2 linked regions of the Ovis aries genome follow. The protein of the gene in region 2 purifies or fractionates together with the protein of the main gene of each other region. This does not show direct contact. Links are inferred from orthologs where the notes say so. Each region holds a gene or a part of one and is shown on either strand. Other genes may lie near its edges.

Region 1 (8,147 bases), on a different chromosome or scaffold from region 2:
CGCCGCCCGGCTCCGGGGACAAGCAGCCCTTCTGAGAGCCCAGGAAGCCGAAGTTCGACTGCTGGAAACGGTCAAAGTCCCCCAAAGGCAGCGCCCGATACCCAGACCTGCCAAGCATGGTTCCCAACAGAGGGCACGCCCCGCGCCCCAGGGCAGTGCGGGGCTTGACCAGCCAGCCGCTACACGGCCCCGCCCCCGCCGACCGCTGCTTCCGGTTTCGCCTGTGCTGCCGGGGGAGGGGGAGGGGCGGCCCGAGTGCAGGAGGAGGAGGCCGACCGCGCCCGGCTCGCACCGTTGCATAGCGCCCCCTGCGCTGGGAGGACCGAACTGCGATCGCGGGGCTGGGAGGAAGGGTGGTCAAGTGGTCCTGGAGGCCCGCAGCGGTCCGCTCCTCCTAAACCTTTTCCCACTAGGTCTTAGAAAAGGAGCAGGAAGAGAAGCTGAGCTTTGCAAGGGAGTTTTCAGGAGCTGAATCTTCTCCAGAAGCAAAGAAATGCTACCAGCCTTCTCAGCACAAACTAGCAAACTCTGGACGGAGTTGGGGAAGATTGCCTTTAGGGTTTCTCCAAGGCATGATCAGCAAATTATTCCTGTTCGTATCCCTGAAGCTCCATTACTTTGGTCACCTGATGAGAAGAGCCGACTCATTAGAAAAGATCCTGTTGCTGGGAAAGATTGAAGGTAGTAGGAGAAGGGGACGACAGAGGATGAGATGGTTGGATGGCATCACCAACTCAATGGACATGAGTTGGAGCAAGCTCCAGGAGACTCTGGGAGATGGTGAAGGACAGGGAAGCCTAGCGTGCTGCAGTCCATGGGGCTGCAAAGAGTTGGACATGACTGAGCGACTGAACAACAACAAAGCCCAGCAAGCAAGGCCTGGCACAGAGAGGATGTCAGTGCTTATCTGTTGCATGAAGGGGTAACCAGGTCATTATGGGTCAACCTGGGGCAGGAGGGCCTGAGCTTCAGCACAAAAAGAAAGAAATTCTGTGTGCAGATCTCAGGGAACATGGCAGAGTAAAGAAGGGGATTGCATAGTGCTATCCCAGGACAGCCCTCCCGAGCATCACAGACCCTCAGTCTTACAGATGCTGAAATAGCACACCCCACAATCCAGGTACCCAAAGGTAACTTGCTTCTCCCTGGCTGGAGAAAACCAAATGCAAAAGGTGAATTTACTCTGTATACCAACAAATTTTAATTTCCAACAAGGCAGGCTGTGTTCCAAAGTGGGCAAAGAAATTAAAGCTTTTCTTGTTCCACACATGCCGGTCCTGCCTCCTAAGGCCCCTCAGCCATAGTCCACTTCCAGATCCCTTCTGCAAATGGCTCCTTACCATCTTTGGCTTTTCCTAGCTTCATAGCCTGGTTCTAAAGCCCTGGGGACACTAATCAAGCAGCAGGGTGCATGCAGTAGGCTCTTGAGGTTTTTGCACTGTCCCTATGAAGTTAGTTCTCCCCTATCCTCCCACCCTGACCCTGAACTATAAGTTCACCCCACCCCCAACTATTAAAGTTTTACAAGAGCAAAGTCCTGTCACTGCCCTTCTAATCTGTCCCAAGCTGGAACTGAACACAAAATGGGTCCATGGGAGTCATCACAATGAATGGAATGCACTGAGGTTTGAAGACAGGGGCACTGGCCCAGTGATGCCACCTGGAGCTGTGCCTTCTCCCCTCACCAGCTGAGAGCTGGGGCTTCTCCTTTGACCCATTGCTAAGTTGCTGTCTCCTCATTTTTCTCATACCTGCCCACCAGCTCTCCCCATTCCCTACTGCCTCAGATCCACCAGCCCTTTCTGCTGTCACATCAGGCATCATCCTGATGCCGTCATCTCCACTCAGCGTCCTCCCAGTCTGACTCGGGTCCCTCCTCTCATCCCACAGCCACTGTCCCAGACCACCTGGCCCTAGGTTGTCAGAGAGACTGTCCCAATATACACAATGGACATGGTTGCTTGTTTTCAAACCCTTCACCAACTCTCTGTGGTCCATAGCCCTGGTCCATCTCCTTAGCCTCATCTTGCCCAGCCCATCTTGGTCTGACATCATGCATGGGTCCCCTCTTGAATCTGAAAATAACCAAAATGAGTTGCTTGTTTCAAAACTAGTTTCGAAACAGCTTCTGTTTCAAACCTCCATGGCTTTGCATATGCTGTTCTCTCGGTCTTAAGTGTTGCCCACCCATCCCCAGCCTCTGAATCCCTGGCAAATTCCCACCATCACTTCAAATCCCAGCTGAGTGATCTCCTGTCCAGCCAGTCTCAACACTGTGAAAATCTCCCTTTGGGGGACTGCTCCTGCATTAGATCTGGGGTGGTTCAGACGCTAAAGAATCTGCTTGCAGTGCAGGAGACCTGGGTTCCATCCCTGGGTAGGGAAGATCCCCTTTAGAAGGGAATGGCTACCCACTCCAGTATTCTTGCCTGGAGAATCCCATGGACAGAGGAGCCTAGAAGACGACAGTCCATGGGGTCCCAAAGAGTCGGACACGACTAGAAGACTAACACTTTCCCTTTTTTTCCCAAAGTAGGAGCCACGCGTGGCCCGGCTGTGTGGCTCTTGCTCCCAGCTGAGGGCTGGCACGAAGCTGTGCCAATGTGAGCTGAATGAAAGATTCCAAGCCGAGGGCAGGGACGGCCTCCATTCTGCACAAACATCAGTTCTGCCGCTGTCCTGCGTGTGACTGCTCTTCTCTCCCTCCTCGCCGCTCTGGGCGTGTCTTCAGGACCGTGGGCCAGCCTCTCCGACCCTAGAACCGCCGGTAGCTAGTGTTTCACTTCCTCTGGGAGGTGGGCCCTGAGCTGGCACCTCCCCTTTAGGGCTGCTCGGGAGCTCAGTGTTCTGGCGCCTTCCTCGGGTTCAGTTTCTCCGCTCTCGAAGAGCGAAACTGAGAATCGAAACTGCGCTGGATTCCATGCAGCAGGATCCGGAACCTGCCGGATCTCCGGGGCCCCAGCAGGACCCCGCACTGCCCCACTCCCCCAGCATGCCTCCCCCGGAGGCACTCTCCGAAGGCCACCAGTCCAGCCATAGCGACAGCCCCACAGAGGTACTACTGCGTTTGGGAGATGGGGTTGGGGCTTTGTTAATTACGTATGGTCGGTGGAATAGAGGGACTGGGGAACTTGACCAAGTACCTTGAAAAATGACGTAAAGAAGGGAGACCAGGTGCGAGGGTCCTGATCTTCTCGGCTGGGTTAGGGGTCGTGGAAAGTAGAAAAGGGGGCCAGCATGAGTTTGAGGGGAGAGGTCTCTCTGGGTTGCGATTCTCCACGAGCAGCGGGGTGATGCTAAGAGTGAGTGGCACCCCGGACCAGACTCTTCCGCCCAAGTCTCTTCCGCCCAAGCTGGCGACATGCCTCTTATCCCCTACCTCAGATGAAGGACCACCTGTTAAGGAAAATGGAAGTAATAGTCTTATCGCACCCGCCTGGCAGACCCGGACAAGCTCCAGGTGTGGACAAGCCAGAATCTTTGTCCTCAGATCAGAAAGTGGGAAAGAGGTGTCTTGGCTAAGGCCCAGGATTCCTGTGGTGTCTCCTCTAGGAAGCTACTTGGATCCTTTTCCTGGAGCACCGTGCTCCCTCAACCCCCATCCTGAGGAGTTTTTTAAGGGTTTACTGGTCTTTTCCTGCACAAACTCCCCACCCCCAAAGGAAGTGCTTAGATCACTTGCTCTGTTTTCTTCCAGCCCCTTTTTACTCTCCTTCATGAAAGTACAAATAATATTGCATTAACTTTTATTTGTTGCATTATAACACCTAGGAATAATATTTACCATACTAGTTAACATGTTCGAGTATTTCTCACGTGCCAGGTACTGTATTATGTTACCTATGTTTTATCTGTTTCTAGGTGTACAATTCAGTGGCATTAAATGCATTCCACAATGTAACCATCACCACAGTCAATTTTCAGAATTTTTTCATTGAAACAAAAATCTGTACCCTTTAAGCTGCTCATTCTCCTCTTCCCCCTGGCTGCTGCTGCTAAGTCGCTTCAGTCATGTCCGACTCTGTGACCCCATAGATGGCAGCCCACCAGGCTCCCCTGTCCCTGGGATTCTCCAGGCAAGAACACTGGAGTGGGTTGCCATTTCCTTCTCCAATGCATGAAAGAGAAAAGTGAAAGTGAAGTCGCTCGGTCGTGTCCTACTCTTAGTGGCCCCATAGACTGCAGCCTACCAGGCTCCTCCGTCCATGGAATTTTCCAGGCAAGAGTACTGGAGTGGGGTGCCATTGCCTTCTCCCTCTTCCCCCTAGCTGCTGGTAACCTCTAATCTACTTTCTGTCTCTGCATTTGCCTAGTCTAGATATTTTATATAAGTGGAATGCTACAGTATTTGTCTCTGTGTTTGGCTGGTTTTACTTAACATGATGTCTTCAAGGTATTTTCATGTTGTAGCATGTATCAGAATGTCCTTTTTAAGGCCAAATAACATTCCATTGTATGTATATACTACATTTTGTTTATCCATTCATTTGTTGATGGACACTTCAGTTGTTTCCACTCCTTGGCTACTGTGACTAATGCTGTGTACAGAATAATGGATGTACAAGCATCTGGATCCTGTTTTCTGTTCTTTTGGGTATATAGCTGGGTGTAGAATTGCTGGGTCCTATGGTAGTTCTATGTTTAAGTTTTTGAGGAACCATCAAAGTGCAGTAAGCATTTTTTGTGAGGTTATATGACACACATTTAATGAATCTCCTTTTTTAAAGTCCTGTGAAGGCAGGGGTTTGTCCTGGAATCAGGGGTCCCCAAGTTCCAGGCCACGGACTGTCACTTGCCCTGGCCTATTAGGAACCGGGCTTACAGTGGCAAGCAGCCAGCAAGAGAGCAAAACGTCATCTGTATTTACAGCCGCTCTCATCACTTGCACTACCGAATTTTCACAGTGGAAACAGAAATAAAGTGCACAATAAATATAATGCATTTAAATCATCCCTACATCACCCCACCCATAGAAAAACTGTCTTTCAGGAAACGGTAACCTAGTCCCCAAAGGGTTGGGGACTGCTGCTATACATCCGTGTATCTTGGGGCCTGGTACTGTGTCTTATGAGAAACGGATGCTCAGTAAATCATGGAGTGAGCGTGAGAAGGCCTAAGTCAATGGAGGACTGGGATACTGATAAGGCTGGGTTTTTGTGTCATCCGTTGACAGCTTGGTATGAAACAGGAAGTGCCACTCTCAGCGTGCAGCCACAGGGTGGGTGTCCGGTTGGGTGGGGCTTCCTGGGACTTCACGTCTCACCTCCCTCCCTGATTCCCCAGCAAGCCACGGAGGAAGAGTTCCAGTTCTTGCGCTGCCAGGGCTGCCGGGCAGAAGCTAAGTGCCCCAAGCTGCTGCCTTGTCTGCATACGCTGTGCTCAGGATGCCTGGAGGAGTCCGGCATACAGTGCCCCGTCTGCCAGGCTCCCTGGCCCTCAGGTGCCGGCGCGCAGGCCCTGGACAACGTCTTCTTCGAGAGCCTGCAGCGGCGGCTGTCGGTGTACCAGCAGATCGCACGCGAGCAGGCGTTTTGCACCCGCTGCAAAGAGCTGGCCCACTACTGGTGCTTCGAGTGTGAGCAGCTCATCTGCGCCAAGTGCTTCGAGGCGCACCAGTGGTTCCTCAAGCACGAGGCCCGGCCGCTGGCGGAGCTCCGCAGCCAGTCGGTGCGGGAGTTTCTGGACGGCACCCGCAAGTCCAACAACATCTTCTGCTCCAACCCCAACCACCGCAGCCCTATGCTGACCAGGTGAGCAGGCTGGCCGAGGGTGGGATGGTGCATCCAAGGGCGAGGTAGAGGGTGCGGGGAGGAGAGACCCAGAGCCTCATAGCTGGGGCGTGGGTCAAGGAGCTTCTGAGGCCTTGCAACTCACAGTGTGGTCCACACACCAGCAGCATCAGTAGCGACGACCACAGTTTACACTCTTCCCGTGCGAATGGATGGATAGTAATAGTTCCCAATTTCCCCTCACAAGAAAATAATGCTGCAGAATCATCTTTTCACACATATCCAGTCATTTCTTCAGGATAAATTTTTAAAAATACGTTACTCGGTGAAGGGATATGAAAGTTTTACATTTCGATACATGTTACCAAACTGCCCTTTAAAAACTCTTAAAGAGTGAAATTTTCCATAAGCACTGCCACTCAGTCTCCCTATAGCTAGGACTGTAGAATGAGATGTGGGTAGTTAGTTCCTGGCTCAAAAGCACTCCCGAGCGTCCTGGGAGGATCTGTATGAAGAAAGTCAAGTTCCATTTTAATTATTTTCACCGCGCAGCACAGGAATTTAAGTTCAGGTTTTTTTAGACAGATAAAATGCATTAATACGGTTCAGAAAATTGCTAACAAGATTTATAGAGAGAACAAAATCTCCATTCCATTTTGTCCCACATCTGCCTAATACCCATCCCTTCTCCCTTCCCAATTCAAGGTTAACCATTGTTACCAGCTTTAAAGGGCGTCCCTTGTGGCTCAGCTGGTAAAGAATCCACCTGCAATGTGGGAAACCTGGGTCCCTGGATTGGGAAGATCCCCTGGAGAAGGGAAAGGCTACCCACTCCAATATTCTGGCCTAGAGAATTCCATGGACTGCATAGTCCATGCGGTCACAAAGAATCAGTCATGACTGAGCGACTTTCACTTTCACCAGCTTTAAAACTTTCCAGAGTTTATGAATATACACGCAGATATAAGTATATAGTCTTATAGGATGTATTGTTCCCTTTTTTAGCAAAATGATAGCATACCTGTGTGAACTTTTAATGCTCTCTTCTCACGCAACTACAATAGATAGCTGTATACGATTCTTGGGGAATCAGCTTACAAAGTGAAGGTATTCCTTGCCCATAAGGGGCACACTCAGACAGAGCTCCATTCTGGCTAAACTATAACTTGCTTGCTTCCTGCTAGGAGGTTTACCACCTGTACTACCAGATTCCACAAGGGCTGATATTATTGTTTGAGTTTGGATTTCTTTATTTATTATTGAGGCTGTCCAGTGGCTTTTCTTGTGTTTATTGGTCATTGAGCTTCTTCATTTGTGAATTGCTTGCTGAGGTCCTTTGCTTGTTTATTTGTTTACTCTTATAAGAGCTTGTTATAGTGCCGACATTTTTCCTGTGTTGACCTTTGTCATTCATTTAATATGAGGTGTTGTGTTCAAGTTTTTACTTCTATATAGTCTAATCCATTAATCTCTTCCTTTATGGTATCTGGCTTTGGTCATCCTAGGAAAGATTTTGCCTATGCCAATACTGAAAATATTTACTTATACTCTATTTTAATAGTTTATTTTTATTGTTAAATCTTTAATTCCCATGGAACTTATCTTTGTGTGATGTGAGATAGGAACACTCGCTTCTCATTTCTCTCCAGATGGAAAGCCAGTTCTCTCAACAACTTTCACTGAATAATCCACTGTTTTTGTTTGATTTTTCCCATTTTTTTAAATTGAAGCATAGTTGATGTACAATATTCTTTAAGTTACAGGTGTACAGGATAGTGATTCACAATTTTAAAGGTTATACTTCACTTACAGTTATTATAAACCATTGGCTATATGCCCCATGTTGTACAATATATCCCTCTAGCTTATGAATAATCTGCTCTTGGCTTTGATCTAAAATGCCCTTTTAATCTTGTACTACATGTCCATGAAGTCATGAATATGTTTGTAAATCTCTGTTCTGCACCCACAGAGTGCAGAACCAACTCCTATGCTAATCCTCACTGCTGTAAGGCATTCAGTAGCTTTATATTTGGTGGGGTGAATTCCCACTCTTCAGAAATAATTTTGCTTTTACAATTTGTGCAGCTTCTTTGGCTCTTACGCTTCAGGCAGCTTCAGAATTCACATGTTCTTTGGGATTTTGATTGAGATGGAATTAAATCCTGGACGAATTGACCTCATCTCTGGTTACATCTTTTGGGTTTGAAAGAGAATTCCATGGACTGCATAGTCCATGGGGGTCACAAAGAGTCAATCATGATTGAGCAACTTTCACTTTCACCAGCTTTAAAAGTTTCCAGAGTTTATGAATATATACACAGATATAAGTATATAGTCTTATAGGACTTATTTTTCCCTTTTTTAGCAAAAAGATAGCATACCTGTGTGAACTTTTAACACTTCCACAATTATCTT
Region 2 (7,938 bases):
CTTTAGTTTCTTACGTTATGTTTTGAATTCACCAATAGAATGAGCCCCTGGGAAGCCCCAGGCATCCCGTCTTCCCTTTGTTTGCCTGGACTGCCAGACTGGAGTTCCAGTTTTGTAACTCCTACGGTTGCTACACTGGCAACAAATCAGTAGAGAGAGGCAAGTATTGGTTTGAAAATGTGTGATTGCTTTATTCAGGAGGTTGACAGCCGGGGGAGAAGGCGAACTCTAAAACCAACTCTGAAGATCCTGCTCAGCCATTAAAGATTTTAAAGGGAGAATCATTTGGGGAGGGGGTCAGAGCCTTTATTATCTTCTACCGTGTACAGACTTACCTCTGATTGGTTGGTGATGAGGTAACAGAGTGGTGTTCCAGGAGTCTTGTGTTTAGTGTGAAGTTGCCACCCTCCACCTGTGTGGGGGCTTTAGTTCCTACAGAAGAACTCGAAGGCATTGTTATATATATGTTCCTTGAGGAGGAACCAGGACTGCGCCACGGCTGTACTATCGCTTCCTGACTGCTCCTTTTCCTTCTGCCCTTCCTTCCCGATAAGCAACTGTTTGAATCTGCCCTTTGGAACTCAGGGAAGACCAGGGAGGCTGAATGAAACCTCTTTCCTGCAAACAAGAGATGGGAGACACAGAAAAGATTTGTATCCTGGAGGGCCCCACAGGGTCATGCTCTGTTTCATAATCTTTATTATTTCCTTCCTTCTGCTTGCTTTGGGTTTAGTTTGCCTCCTGCCCCCCTCCTTGTTTTATTTTTAGTTTCTAAAGGTAGAAAGTTACTATTTGTAATTTTACTTTTTTTAAAAAAAAGTAGATGTTTAAAATAGTATAAAATTTCCTCTAAGCATTGCTTTCAGTGTATCCCATAACTTTTGGTATGTTGTATTTGGTTTCTTAAAGTATTTTCATTTCACCTGAAAGTATTTTGTAATATTCCTTGTGATTTATAATTTGACATGTTTGTTTAGTGTGTTGCTTAGTTTTCATATAGTTTTGAATTTCAAAGGAAATTCTACTTTCATTCCATTGTGGTCAGAAAGCATACTTTGTATGATTTCATTCCTTCTTAATGTATTGAGGCTTGTTTTATGGCTTAACCTGGTCTCTCCTAATCATGTGCACTTGGGAAGAATGTATATCCTGCTGTTGTTGGATGGAGTGTTTGTAGAGGTCTTTAGGTCTAATTGGCATACAGCGTTCATGTTTTCTTTTTCTTTACTAATCTTCTCCCTACTCCACAATTGAAAGTGGGGTAGTGAAACATACAACTCTTATTATTGAATTGTCTGTTTCTTACTTCAGTTCTGTCAGTTTATGCTTCATGTATTTTGGCGCTCTGTTGTGAGGTGCCCTAGCTTTAATTCTGCTGCATAATGTGAATTGGATGCTATGTATGTGGACACTTTTGGTAACTCAGTAAACATTATTCCCATTTTATGTACTGTGACCAATAAATGGAATTTGTTTTGATGTGGCTTTGATGCTTAAATGGTTTTGACTAGTAGTAAGTTATTTTGTCTTGGTTTCCCAGGTGGTGCAGTGGTAAAAATTACGCCTGCCAGTGTAGGGGACACAAGAGACGGGTTTGATCCCTGGGTTGGGAAGATCCCTTGGAGAAGGAAATGGCAACCCACTCCAGTATTCTTGCCTGGAAGATTCCATGGGCGGAGGAGCCTGGTGGACTACAGTCCATAGGGTCACAGAATCGGACATGGCTGAGCACCAGAGGTTATTTTGTCTAGGTTACATAAAGATGCACTTGTGTCTGAGAAGACTTAACTTTACTACGGCAGTGGTTCATTTTAAGGGTTTATGTATATGTGAGTCTGAGTGAACTGAAGCAGTTTAAACATGGCAGAGATAAAGTATTTAATAATGACTTTGCCAGTACTGATTTTTTTTTCCTAAACTTTTTATTTAAGTATAGCTGATTTATAGTGTTAAGGTTAGTTCTAGGTATACGGCATAGTGATGCAGTTTCAAAATGTGTGTGTATGTGTATATATATATATATTTGTTTTTCAGATTCTCTCCATTATGGGTTATTATAAGATAGTAAATTTATTTCTCTGTTGTATATAGTAGGTTCTTTTTATCTGTTTTATATATTGCAGTGTATATCTGTTAATCTCAAGCTTCTAATTTATCCTTCCTGCTCCTTACCCTTTTGGTAACCATAAGTTTGTTTTCTATGTCTGTGAGTCTATTTCTGTTTTATAAATAAATTAACTTGTATCATTTTTTGATTCCATATATGTGATTTCATGTGATATTTATCTTTCTCTGTCTGATTAGCCAGTATTAATTTTTAGTGAGAATAGAGGGCAGATGATAGTGTAATGTTCCTGACTATCTCTAGAATAATTTGAGTCAGTACCCATTATTATTAAACTACTAAGAGTATCTACTTTTTATACAACCAGGTCCTAAAGTATATCTGGCTTTGGAGGAAGAAGGAAATAGAAAAGTATCCTTGATGTTACATCTTTTGACATAAGTGGTATCAAATGAGCAAATTGAAACCCAGAGCTTTATTAACTTGATGAAGGTCACTGGTAGGTGCTCTTTTCATTTTCTATTCTCTTAGTCTTTCCTTCAACAAATATGCCAGGCTGTGGAGATGCAGCTATGACCCAGTCAGACATGAATGATCCTTGCTCTTATGAATTGTCTGGTGGGATTCTTTTAGTGTAGTCTTTGAGTCCTATTTCATATAGTAGTGACATAGAATTGTAGAATACTTTATAAAATATTTCTGCATTTTAATCTAATTTTATAACTCTTATTGCAGTCTTGTGACCCAGGTGGGTTAGATATAGTATTGCTGTTATTCCCATTTGAAAACTTAAGGAAACTGAGACTTAGGGATATTTAGGTGATGTAGTAAATGGCTGAGTTAATATGCAGACCCAGATCGTCTGGCTCCAGGGATCCTGCACTTCTTCCATTATGCCATTGTCTCACTGTTTCACATGAGACTACAAGCCTAGATCACCAAGAGTGATATTCCGGAAAATAATCAGCCTCACAGCATTTAGCAAAGCAGAGAGCTCTGTCAGGCAGGGCATGTGGGACGAGGAATCAGGAGACCCAAACGACTGTGTCTAGTGCGCTGGTCTGGACTTATTTCTAAATAACGCATTGAGAAGGAATAATTTGGAGGGAAACTAAAGCTTGAGACACATTGCACGGACGTGGTCTCAGCAGCACCTACGTGGGCTCACAGCATAGTAACTGCCAGGGACATTTTTTTTTTCCTAGAACAAAGACTTGAAACAGATGGTGAATTCAAGAAGTGACCTAAACAACACCAGAGTCCTAAACAACAGCTCCATACAGAGCTTCTACAGCTGCAAATCAGAGTCTAATCTTTATATGAGGAAGGGATTGTTTGTTTTTCATTGATTACCTCAGCTGCTATCACACAGGTTCAGAGATAGCAGTCTCTTCAGTAAAAACAATTGAGTACTTCCTCTGTGTAAAAACACTGTTAGGTATTGTGGGAGTGATACCAACATAGGTATGATGCCATCCTTGCCCACAAGGAGCTTGTAACCTAGTAAGGAGATTTTGCATTCATTCAAACAATATGTGTTTATCCAGAGTCCATTATGTGTCAGGCCCTGTACCACATGTTAAGGAAACAAGAGTAGATAAGATAGAAACCATCCCTTTGCCTTTAGCTTTTACTTTCCATTGCCTGAAGAGTATTCCTTACCTTCTTCCCCTGAATCTAAGCACTCAGAAATCTTTTTAGAGAGCAGAACATGAAATTCTCTTAGCAGGACAGTAGTCAGCACTGCTATTCTTGTAACTTGGCCACAAATAGAACCCCACAGTTGTGGGTCAGAGCTTAGGCATCATGCTATGAAATATTTGCATCTCATCTAGTGTCACATTAAGAAGAGTGCAAAACATCCTGATAGAAGAAACGGATAAGAGATCTGAACAGATCACAGAATAGAAAGTAAAAAAGATAAAATGTATGTCAGTCTTATCGATAATCAGAGAAATGGTGATTAAATAGTAAAATGATATTTTCACCTCTCTCATTGGCAAGAAAGTTGGTTAGAGCAAATTTAAGTAATAATTACAAGACAACTTTATTGAATACTTTCTCTGTGGCAGGCACAACAGTCTTTACAATAATCCTAGTGAGGTGGGTACTATTATTATTATTGTTTTATTGTTAAGGTACTTGAGGCACAAGGATAGAGAAACTTGTCCAAGGTCAGACATTCAGTACTTACTAAGCCCAAATTTGAATTCAGGCAACCTATATCTAGAGCCTGTACTCTTTTTTTTTTAAAATTTATTTTAATTGGAGGATAATTGTTTTACAATGTTGTATTGGCTTCTGCTGTACAACAGTGTGAATCAGCCATAAATATACATTTGAGCCCTCCCTCTTTCTAGAGCCTGAATTCTTAATCACCAAAGTGGTGCCTTTGTCTGAATTGGTTACCATTATGCTGTATGCTCAGCCTAAAAAAGGTCTTAACTATTTGTTGAATGAATTCTTAAAATGAAAATGTATTAGGCATATCATTTTTAGGGTAGTTTATGAATAGCGAAGAAGACACATACTAATAACTCAATAATCCTATTTCTTAATATGTATCTTAAAAAAAACATGTGTGTAAGGAGGCACTTACATGGCAGCATTCTTGGTACTTGTTGAAAAATAGAAAATGTAAATGCTCATCAGTACTGTAAATAACTACTAACATAACTAATGTATCAGTTCAGTTCAGTCGCTCAGTCGTGTCCGACTCCTTGCGACCCCGTGAATCGCAGCACGCCAGGCCTCCCTGTCCATCACCAACTCCCGGAGTTCACTAAGACTCACGTCCATCGAGTCGGTGATGCCATCCAGCCATCTCATCCTCTGTCGTCCCCTTCTCCTCCTGCCCCAAATCCCTCCCAGCATCAGAGTCTTTTCCAATGAGTCAACTCTTCGCATGAGGTGGCCAAAGTACTGGAGCCTCAGCTTTAGCATCATTCCTTGCAAAGAAATCCCAGGGCTGATCTCCTTCAGAATGGACTGGTTGGATCTCCTTGCAGTCCATGGGGCTCTCAAGAGTCTTCTCCAACACCACAGTTCAAAAGCATCAATTCTTCGGCACTCAGCCTTGTTCACTAATGTATAGCTCTATATAATTATTAAACATTTAAATAAGCTATGATATAGGAATATTTAAAAATTCTATATGCATAGATAAATAAATGAAGTATGATGTGGAAAGTTATATAGGATTTATTTTGGAATGAGAAAAGCAAGTTACAGAACTTTTACTGCCAAAATAGATTCTAGACAATGAAAGAGTGAAACAAAAATAGCCATGAAAATAGCAGGGAAAACATATGTTAACATTTTTATAATATTGGAATGAGAAAGGCTTTTCTAAGCATGATGTGAAATGTAAAAACCATAAAGGAAACTGATGAATTTGATTACAAAAAAATGGATGACTTCCAAGTAGAAAAAAAAGAATAAGCATTAAACTGGAATAGAGATCCTAATAAAGTGGATGAACAAGAGCCTATTATACAGAGTGAAGTTAGTTATAAAAAAACCAAATATCATATATTAATGCATCTAGAAATATGGAACTGATGAACCTGTCTGCAGGGCAATATTGGAGATGCAGACAGAGAACAGACTTGTAGACACAGTGAGGGAAGAAGAGGGGGGATGAACTGACACAATAGCATTGAAATATATACATTACCATGTGTAAAACTAGAAAGCCTGTAGAAATTTGCTGTGTGACATAGGAAGCTCAAATCTGGTGCTCTGTGACAACCTCTAGGGGTGAGATGGGGTAGGAGGTGTAATGGAGGTTCAAGAAGGAGAGGACATATGTATACTTATGGCTGATTTGTATTGCTATATAGCAGAAACCAATGCAATATTGTAAAGCAGTTATCCTCCAATTAAAGATAAATTTAAATAAAAACAACTCCAAACATTGTGTGTGTGTCTGTGTGTATATATTGGAGAAGGCAATGGCAACCCACTCCAGTACTCTTGCCTGGAAAATCCCAAGGATGGAGGAGCCTGGTGGCTTAATATATATATGTGTGTGTGTGTGTGTGTGTGTGTGTCTGTGTGTGTGTGTGTGTCTGTGTGTCTGTGTGTGTCTGTGTGTGTGTGTGTGTAGGCTTCCCTGGTGGCTCAGATGGTAAGGAATCTACCAGTAATGTGGGAGACCCAGGTTAGGTCCTTGGGTCAGGAAGATCTGGAGGAGGAAATGCCTACCCACTCCTATATTCTTGCCTGGAGAATCCCGTGGATAGAGGAGCCCGCCAGGCCTCTGGGGTTGCGAAAAGTCGGACATGACTGAGTGACTAACCCAACCTATATATATATATGCCTATATGTAGACAAAAAAGCCAATAAGCATATGATAGATAAATAGATGTTCAGCTTTTACTCATAATTAAAAATACAAGTTAGAAGGATGTCCCTGGTAGTCCAGTTGTTGAGAGTCTGCTTTCTCTGGTCTGGGAGGATTCCACATGCCACAGGGCAACTGAGCCTGTAAGCTGCAGCTGCTGAAACCCACATCCCTAGAGCCTGTGCTCTGCAACAAGAAAAGCCATCACAGCAAGAACCCTATACTCGCACACTAGAGAAAGCCCACAGGTAGCAAAAAAGACCCAGTGCAGCCAGAAATAAAAAATTAATAAAAAATACTAAGTGAGATATCAGGTTCCATTGCTTCTACTGTGAAATTGGTAAAGATGGGTAATAATAATGATGAACTTATAGAAAGAATTTTACACAGAAATAGAAATAAGCACAGCATGTTTGGAAATTTTGGCAACATTTATTAAAATTCAGTCTGTGTAATACTTTTGTCTAAAATTCCACTTGTAGGGATTTATTGCATATTGAGGTGTAAATGTATGTGTACAAAGATATTCATTATATTGTATATAGTTATAAAAATATGAAGACAATCTAGATGTATGTTGAAAGGGATGAGAGTTAAATTGTAATACATGTAATGGAGTGCTGTTCAGCTGTTTTAAGACTGTGGCAAACCCAGGTGTATACACATGCCCCATTTTACACTGCTTTGTATAGTGCTGATTGATTCTAATGCTACATTAAATAACCTTTGTGTGAATATAACAGTAGGCATGTGTATATTTTAAAAGTCCATTATAGTTACCCATTGATGTATATCTCTTTTTCCTTGCTCTGCTCTCATTACTATCACCTGTATTGGGAGCATTAAGTAATTCAGACATACTATGATCTAGTATTTAGATGTTGTTAAACTAGAGTTTCTTTTATTAGCAAAAAGAATAAGGACAACTTATAGCTCATGAGAGCATTTTTATACTTCAAATACTTCTAAATGCCAAAAAACAAGTGAAAGAGGAATGTTGTTTCCAAATGTATACATAACTAGTGGCTAAGACTCTGAGTTATGAAACCAGGATGCCTGGGTTCAAATCCTGGCTTTGTTACTGTGTATGACTTTGTGCAAGTTATTTAGCTTTTTTTGCCTCCATTTCCTCATTATTCGTCCAACAAATATTTGAGTGCTTTCTGTATGCCAGACACTATTTTGGATGCCAATGATAAAACAAGGAGGATTAAGACAAATTCTCTACCTTCCTGTGGTATGTGTACATTCTGAGGGACTTAATTCTATACCTTAGTATTTAGTGTTCATAAGAGGATTAAGGGTTTAATACCTCTAAATCACTTGTAATAATGTCTGGTACATAGTAAGTGGACAATAAATAATATTACTGTTGTTCTTCCCTCCCAAATAAATAGGTACATGGAATGTAATTTATTAACTATTTTATGAAAATTTTTGTTAAATAAAATAACATTCAAGGATATATAAAACACTATTTCAGTATATCCTTAAATTTTCCATATGCATGTTGCTCACATACATTTTT

What was found. Proteins that work in one complex are often made in the same cells at the same time.
Region 1: the proteins of ZFYVE9 (region 2) and PML purify together in Homo sapiens (affinity purification with western blotting; 3 studies listed by BioGRID and IntAct, with this or other methods). This does not show direct contact. The link is inferred for Ovis aries from reciprocal best matches to the Homo sapiens genes ZFYVE9 and PML.

The regions. Positions count from the first base shown.
Region 1 is NC_056071.1:32,278,064-32,286,210, reverse strand, and holds the start of PML (protein PML), read left to right. Parts: upstream 1-2,841; 5' UTR 2,842-2,920; coding exon 2,921-3,055; intron 3,056-5,283; coding exon 5,284-5,750; intron 5,751-8,147. Other genes in the region: STOML1 (stomatin-like protein 1), read right to left, coding at 1-118.
Region 2 is NC_056054.1:26,594,112-26,602,049, forward strand, and holds the start of ZFYVE9 (zinc finger FYVE domain-containing protein 9), read left to right. Parts: upstream 1-2,453; 5' UTR 2,454-2,564; intron 2,565-7,938. UniProt on the Homo sapiens protein: Early endosomal protein that functions to recruit SMAD2/SMAD3 to intracellular membranes and to the TGF-beta receptor.